2 linked regions of the Oryzias latipes genome follow. The protein of the gene in region 2 binds, or shares a complex with, the protein of the main gene of each other region. Links are inferred from orthologs where the notes say so. Each region holds a gene or a part of one and is shown on either strand. Other genes may lie near its edges.

What was found. The genes of interacting proteins can lie anywhere in the genome.
Region 1: lsm6 (region 2) and lsm8 share a complex: the UniProt entries of both Homo sapiens proteins name them as parts of the precatalytic spliceosome. The link is inferred for Oryzias latipes from reciprocal best matches to the Homo sapiens genes LSM6 and LSM8.

The regions. Positions count from the first base shown.
Region 1 is NC_019881.2:23,243,759-23,248,032, reverse strand, and holds lsm8 (LSM8 homolog, U6 small nuclear RNA associated), read left to right. Parts: upstream 1-1,474; 5' UTR 1,475-1,676; coding exon 1,677-1,707; intron 1,708-2,760; coding exon 2,761-2,801; intron 2,802-2,890; coding exon 2,891-3,018; intron 3,019-3,736; coding exon 3,737-3,827; 3' UTR 3,828-4,174; downstream 4,175-4,274. UniProt on the Homo sapiens protein: Plays a role in pre-mRNA splicing as component of the U4/U6-U5 tri-snRNP complex that is involved in spliceosome assembly, and as component of the precatalytic spliceosome (spliceosome B complex).
Region 2 is NC_019859.2:18,489,252-18,493,397, forward strand, and holds the start of lsm6 (U6 snRNA-associated Sm-like protein LSm6), read left to right. Parts: upstream 1-1,346; 5' UTR 1,347-1,434; intron 1,435-1,851; 5' UTR 1,852-1,861; coding exon 1,862-1,955; intron 1,956-2,075; coding exon 2,076-2,189; intron 2,190-4,146. UniProt on the Homo sapiens protein: Plays a role in pre-mRNA splicing as component of the U4/U6-U5 tri-snRNP complex that is involved in spliceosome assembly, and as component of the precatalytic spliceosome (spliceosome B complex).

The DNA of each region.
Region 1 (4,274 bases), on a different chromosome or scaffold from region 2:
GGCGTGTTCAGTGGTCATGGCTAAAGGGGGCGTGGCTTAAGAGGGCTCAATGAGTGAGATCTAAAGCCATACACACTGTGTTTGTGCGTATGTTCTAACCGTGCGTGTGTCATTGTGCGTGTGTGTGACATTGCAAGGATTTGCACTCCAGCTCGGCAGTACATCCACCCACCCACACTCACTCACGCACACACGCACGTGCACAGCACTGCCATTTAAATAGTGGGTCAGAGTCGTTTTCATGTAGCTTCACCAACCAAACTGTATGTTTGTTTTCTTTAAAGGAACAAGGATGTTGTAAAGTATTTTTGTACAAATTTAATACTTTGGTAGCATGAGGTTCCTGGTGTTTGTCCCAGTCCCGTCAGCCTTCATTCACCCCCCACCTCCCACCCCACCTTCTGTTTTTTTAATACTGAGCAACAATAAAGTGAGACGGGAGGCTGTGACTCCACATGTGGTCTAACATTAGCACATGCATTCAAACGTGTCTGTTTGGGTTTCCTGTCATGTATATAATGTTTCACATTAAACTGAACTAAAGTTTTACATTTGTAAAAATCTCTGAGTCAAAATCTTCTTCAGGAAATCTTAATTTCTCTCTTGATCATCCGAGGTCGTCCAGGACGCAGAACAGATGATCAGGTGAGGTTCTTCAACCGGCCTGGTCTGAATGTTAAAATGGAGATACGTCTCCATTTATATCCCATCATCCCTTTGTTTACGCTCTCTCCCACTAGCTTACAGCCCCTCACAACCCCAACTTAACTTTACTAGTGTAACCGTACAGCAAGCAGTATCAGAGCTTGCCATCCATCCAGGTCTGATCCAGATTCCAGTTCAGACCAGGAGAACGACGACGTTCATGGATCTGGTGGATGATCAGAAAGGGGCGGAGCAGGAAGGCTGTGGCCCCGCCCATCTTTGTTGCTGCGTAACAACTGGGAGTTTTTTTCAAATGGCATTTTTTTTGCTACTGATTTACGATTTTAATAAAGAAGTACTTAGAAACGCAGTTTTATCTTAAATAATTTTATATATGCTCTCCATTACGAGAAAAATGCTACAAGAACATGTTAAAAACATCACATCAGAGTGGGTCTTTAAGGAGAAACTGAAAACTAGGCTAGAATTAGTTTTGGATCCTAAACCGTTAAGAGAAACGTGAAACCGGATAATGACCACATCTAATGATTGGTTCTGATGATGCTGGAATGTGTGAAGTATTTGTTACAAAAATAAATTTTAAGAAAAACAGCCTGAAAAGTTCAGATTGGAGCTGTCATTTCATTTAATTGTATGATTATTTGTTTAATTAAGTTCTTTAAACAAACACTTTTTAAAGCAGATTTTAATAATGTGTGAATGTGTGAGGATGGAAATTAAAAGTAAAGAACAGCTCAAAAACAATTTCTCCAAACTCCGTCCCAGGTGGTGACACTAATGCGCCAGCAGGGTGTTTGCTAACCGCCAAAAGAAAACACAGAAGAAGAAGGAGGACATGCGCATGCGCGCTTTGACGCCTCAGCTCTATGAATCTGTGTGAGATTAGCTGAGCCTGGCTGTTGTTAGCTGCCGCCGTTAGCCTGTGCGGTGTTTTTGCGGGTTCTCTTAGCCTGTTTCAAACGCAAGTCTTCCCGCCAGCTGGATAAATAAAAAAGGAGCTCCGGACAAACATGTCCACCGCGCTGGAGAGCTACATCAACCGTATCCTTCCGCTGCTGCTAGCGGCTAACAGGCTAACCGCCGTTTAAATGAATGGAGGGCTAACTGCTAGCTTAGCGCGCTAACGAAAACTCGTGTTTTGTTAAATATAAAGAGTGTAATTTAAATGTCTATTTAGTAGGCTTAACTAAATTCATCTTTAGATTTCAAACACTGTTTATTTTGTGCTTTTGTTCGGGTATCGTGCAAAAATAAGAATTTGTAGCCTTTTGGGTTATTTTCAGCAGAAAGTTTAAACCAGATTATTTTTCTTATCGTTTCCTGATTATTATTCATCGATCATTGGAGAACCGGGTTTGTCAGTAGAAGTAAAGAATAAATAATTAGGAGAAATGCTCTTTTATATTTCCTTAGATTATTCCTAGAGATTAAAGAGATTTGCATGAATCTCTTTAGTTCTGGAGGAGGATCTCCTCACAGGAACCAAAACATTCTGAGAACTTCATGATGAATATCAGGAATTCTACTTCTAAACCGCTTTTATTTTCCCAGAGTTCATCTTTTTGAAAACATGCTGCTGGTTTCCCCGCGTGTCTTCAGTGAAACTGAATCTTATCTTACAGATTCGTGCTAATTTCTCCTACATCCCATAATTAAATTCGTATTTAAATCAGCTGCAGAGAAGTTTGTTTTGCTGAAAAGCAAACCACAAAAAAACAGTAAAAAGTAACATCACACTGACTCAGTTTAATCAACTCCAATAAAAATTGTGTTTCTGATTTCAATTAGGCAGCAGTGGATGCAGTTTATTCTCAGCAACAGAAAAGCAGCTGTGAAGGTTTTTGTTCTTTGAGGCTGAATCTGTACAGCATGTTGTCTTTTCCACCAACCAGAAGTCGGGGCGGGGCTTCGGTCACCTGGGCTCAGTTTTTTCTTAAACTTTTTCTCTGCTGGTATCTGGAGTCCAGGGGACTTTGGATCCGACACTTCGCTCTGAACTCAGAGGAAAAGCTGCTGTAGAGATTTTTGAGCTTCCTAGAAGCTGTGAGGTGATGATGTGTTCTGGATGAGTTTCTTTGACCGATGCTGGCTCAGGTACGGTGGCCATCGTCACTTCAGACGGCAGGATGATCGTGGTGAGTTCAAATGCTCCTCCTGTCCTCGGCTGGATCCGCTCTTTTCGGTTGGAGCCCAGCCTCATTTTCTCATTTCTGATTCTCTTCAGGGAACTCTGAAAGGCTTCGATCAGACCATCAACCTCATCCTGGATGAGAGTCACGAGCGCGTCTTCAGCTCCAGTCAGGGCGTGGAGCAGGTGGTGCTGGGACTCTACATCGTCAGAGGAGACAACGTGTGAGTCTGAGACCGCCGGTCCTCCCATCAGAACACAGAGAAACAGGAAACAGTTGAAGACAGTTGAAAGGACATTTGATCTGAAAACAGCAGGTAAAAGCAGCTCAGCAGCAGAGTAGAGCGTCTACCTTCAGCCCGTGGGTTCGAGTCCACAGGTCGACAGAATCCTCCCCCTCCAGGGGCAAAGAGCCGCTCTGATGAAAATGCTCTTCTTCTTGTAGAGGTTTTCTGATGATGGAGGTCATAGATTCAGATCATTGAGATCAATTTCTGAGTTTTTCTTTAATCAAATTGTTGTGAATCAGGAGCAGACGAAAAAAATGCTGATGGGAAAAAATTACATTTATAGCGTAGAAAATACTCTGGGCGGGGCCACAGTCTCCCTGCCCCGCCCCTTTCTGATCATCCACCTGCAGACCAACAGATCCATGAACGTCTGTTCTCCTGGTCTGAGCTGGAATCTGGATCAGAACTGGACGGGTGGACCTGATGTTGCTGCTGTTTTTGTTGTTCCATTAATGTTAAGATGGGGGGGTGAGGGGCTGTAAGCTAGCAGGAGAGAGTGTAAACACATGGATGATGGGAAATGAAGATGGGCTCACTCTGCACTGCGAACCATCTGAAAATAGATCAGAAGCTGGTGGGAGTGGGACTTTAGCCCCCCAGCGGGCTCTAAAGGTCATTCTGACGGCGTGGCGATTCTTTTTTTCCTCATCAGAGCGGTGATCGGTGAGATCGACGAAGAGACCGACTCCACGCTGGACTTGGGGAACATCCGAGCCGAGCCGCTCAACTCTGTGGTTCACTGAGCTCACCGTCTCCACGGCAACAGTGGACTCAGGGGGAGGGGTCTGCTGCAGCGGGAGCCGTGGAGATGAAGATCTGAGGGTGATCAGAGTCTTCCTCCTCCAACAGACTGTTCTGATGTTTCCACGTTTGTATTTTTATAAAGGAGGTTTGAGTCACGGTCTTCATCTCCAACAGAGAAAAGTTGAATAACGTTGGATTTGATTCTTTTCATTTTGCTTTAAGGTGAAACCAAGACTCAAAAAAAGACTTGAGTTTGTTTTAAAGCACAAAGTTCTGCTTTTCTTCAGCTCCATGTTCTCGTCTTTCAGGGAAGAACAAATAAATGTGTGAAAATGTTTTCCTTTTAGAGCTTCTGTTCTGAAAACTTTATTAGCTATTTTTTTTAAACAGACGTTTATTTTATTTAGATATTTGCTTTGCTTTATTTGTGATCATGGAAACTTGAA
Region 2 (4,146 bases):
AAGATTGCTGATCTTCATGACCTAGCAAAAGCGGAAGTTCTTTGTCCAAAAACGGATCGCCATATTTCATATATAAAACAGTCAAACTTAGTGTGTTAGATATTACTTTAAACTTTCCTTGATGTTTTTATTCATAGACATTCCAGTGAGAACATCAAAAACAATAAAGTAGTGGTTTTGATTGCCTCATCACTGAACTTACTCCAAATGTTGTCCGTATAAACTTTGTAACTACTTAAACTTCTTTTATACACAACAAATACTTAATCTTAGCATTTCTATTTTTCTTGTCTGATAGGTTTTCACAAATACATTGTCACAATCAGAAAGTGTAAAATATCATGCGCTTTGACCTCAACTGAATCCAACAATGTTTGCAGTTCTTTGCATGTTCTGCTTGTTCCACGGTCTTCTGTGTGGCATTCATTCTTGGCGTTGTTTTGCTGGCTGATGAAGTTTTCTACTGTTCCAAATTTTAATTTGTCTTGATTTTAGTGCAGCTAATGATGATTAATCAAATGCTTTGCTCTGCCCTTTGTGAGTTGTGTATCTCTGACACAGTTTAGGACTTGTTTAAATCCAAACTATGTGAATAAATGTTAAAAGCATCCCAGCAAAAGAATGCATCCAGCTCTAACTGGATTTCTCCTGGTGGCCTTCTCAGCTTATTAAACATAAGTGAGCTCGATCAATTGCTCACTTGTTTTTTTTTTCTCACTGTTTAATTGCTGAAGCCATAGAACATCCAGTTAGGTTGTAACATTGTCCGTCTAACAGGTTTATTCTGCAGATTCAAGCCTTTACAGATTGTCCAAAGGTACTAAATGTTTCTTCAGCTGAAACAGGCATGTGACTTGACATTTCAGGTCTCAATAATAACTTCCTCTGACTGCCTTATTCTAAGTCCTAACATTTGCCTATAAACAACCCTTACTAATTATTGCTCTCTTTGCCAATGAATAGCAACTGGTGCAACATGCAGCAAAAACGTAATATGCTAAACTCTTCAGTTCTGGGATAAAAAATTGTGAATTGATCCAACCGGTGTTGACATAAAAAAAAGTAGTTTTGAACTTTTTATTTTATTTTACAGGACTTAAATTAGAATGTAATGTCTTGACATGTGTCCTGCTTTAGAAAAAAGCCGGTTAAGAGTTTAATGGTTTGAAAACAGTAAACAGTTCTATTATTATTATTATTATTATTATTATTATTATTATTATTATTATTATTATTATTATTATTATTATTATTATTATTATTATTATTATTATTATTATTATTATTATTAACAGATTTTCTAAATTTAGCGCGTTTGCTACTTAATGCGATTTCGATATTTTTGACAACGGCCGGCTACCATAGACTGCACGTATATGATTGGGTAGTTCGCGGGTGTCGTTGAAAACAGTCGTTTGCTAGACGTAATAGCAGGTGAGTGGAATGTAAACCAAGCCATTTACCTCTGCTTGTAAAGCAAACATGCGTTTAGCCTATTTACATTGCAGATACAATTGTTTAGAAAATCTTAAAGAACCTCCGGCATTATCTCTACAGACATTAGACAGTTAACCCCGTCAGTAGCCAGATGGTTAGCTACGCTAGCAGTAGCAGCTAACGTCTCCCGCTTGCTCAGTGATTTAATTTGTTCATTGATGCTTATTTCTGTAGTTCAGCACGTGGTTGGAAAAAATGAGAGTTGGGCTTTTTATGTGGTATTTTAGCGGAAATAAAACATCGTTTTTTATGTATTAAATCCACGCTATTAAACATAAAACTAATCATGGAGGACGATGGCGATGCTAGCACAAGAAACTAAAAGGCTAATATACAAAAACCTTTATTTTTCAGATCAAGCAAGATGAGTATGAGAAAACAAACGCCGAGTGACTTCCTTAAGCAGATAATTGGTAGACCAGTGGTGGTCAAACTAAACTCTGGTGTGGATTACAGAGGTAAAACACCTGGCGTGCCAGGCTCAGCCGCACGGTTCTCCTTTATTGTTATTTCTAAATGTCTGTTAAGGAATGAGACTTTAACCAAAACTTTGTTCCTGTTTGCTATAACTTATGCAGGTGTTCTGGCCTGTCTGGATGGTTACATGAACATCGCCATTGAACAGACAGAAGAGTATGTTAATGGACAGCTCAAGAACAAGTATGGGGATGCCTTTCTGAGAGGAAACAATGGTAAGAGGTTACATTTTTACAATAAAAATACTGATTAAGCCTTCTGCACATAATGACGTTAGTCAAGGGGGTATGCCTTTAGATTATATGTTTTAACTTTACACTGAATAGTAGGTATGCATAGTCAGTTAAATAACCCAAAATCATTGGTTAATGATATTTGACCTATTCATCATAGTTTTAATTTATTTTTAAATACAGCGATGTATGTCTGAAACATGCAAATATGGTGAAAATATTTACATTGCATAAGGCATGCCTAAGAACTCATTTAAAGAAATTGGAATTATTGGTCAAGTTTAGGTGACTATGGTAGAGAGATGTGGTTTGGAGTTGTTTCTTTGCAGAAATGATTAGGTAAAAGTAGCCTAATCAAATAGATTTAATGCATGTCTTAAACCAGGGGTCGGCAACCTTTACCACTCAAAGAGTCATTTGGAGCCGTTTCCCACAGAAATGAAAGCACAGGGAACCGCAACACAAGGGGTGTTAGAAATAAAGCGTTTTGCTTTTGAAATGTCGCAATAGTTCATTTGACAATACTTGTATTGATTCAAAATGCTGTCAGGATATTTATTTAATTATTTATTTTAATTATTTATGAGCCTTATGTTTCCTTTGATCTTTTGTCCATTTTACACAACCTTGATCTTGTGCCCCTACGAGATTACCGCTGACTGTCTTTATAGAAGAACTTTCCATCCCATACCAGACTCTGGTCAGTATTCACATGTGCAGACACGCCCCCTCCGCGTGCTCACGCTGCGCTCTTCCTCCTGACCGCTCGCGCTACCCGACGGTGTTAAAGGCTCTACAACAATCTTAGAACATGATAGGTATTTTACAAAAATACAGACAGTCGCAGCACAGGGATGAAAGCGGCTCCGGAGCCGCAGGTTGCCTACCCATGTCTTAAACCAACAAAAAACTATTTGGGGAGTATTAGAAAAAAGTTGACAATTTTGCTAATAGGAACGTTTCAAAGTGATAGAAATGAATCTTAACAATTTTAAGTGCATGATTGATTTATATTGGTTTAACCAAATGGACAGTAATGACACAAATTTTTAAAGGTTTAAGGCAGTACGAAGCAGGATGATCTATAGGTGTGACACAAAAACGATCAGATGCAGATTGTTTAGGAGGCAAACGAATAGAATGGGCTGGCTAAAATATCTTTAACCTCTTAAGACCTGATGTCCACATGTGCGAACATCACATATTACCACAGTTGTTAATTTTGCTTAACTGGGGCCCTGTGACTATGTGTAGAGGGTTATCTCAAATATTAGCTCGGGTCTTAAAAGGTAAAACTATCACCTTCCCAGTTTATCTGAGTTTTTTCTTTTGCATATGGAAAATATATTAAAAAAAAGACTTTGGATACATCTGTAAATGGCATTTCTAAAACTGCAGTAAATAATTTCACTTTACCTTTAAAAATGTAAATTCTTTCACTAACTTATACCATCTGCTGTGAGATTTCATCTTTAGGTACACAAAATCTGTGTTTGGGGAATATTTGAAATTTGTTTGAAATGTTAACCACTAATGGAGAGCTAGCCTAGCATATTCTGACACAACACAATCAAGGAAACCTTACATAATGATGTAAGCTTTCTCTTTTTTGTCCTTTTATTTTCTAAAGAAACACACTTTATTCCTATGTGTGGACAACACAAAAATCCAAAAAAATTATATAAGGGCAATACCAATGTTACTACTTCATCTGCAGAGACAGCCTAAGCACTAGAGGTGTGTATTGGCAAGAGTCTGACGATACGATGCGTATCCTTATATAGTACCGGAGCACATTTTCTTTCTTTTTTAAAAAGAAAATGACTTAGAAAAATATCTGACTTAATTTCAATATGTCTTTCATTGTAAAAAAATGGTCAAATTCCATTTAATGATCACAATGTTGAGCACTGCAACTGTATCTCATATACAAGTTGCT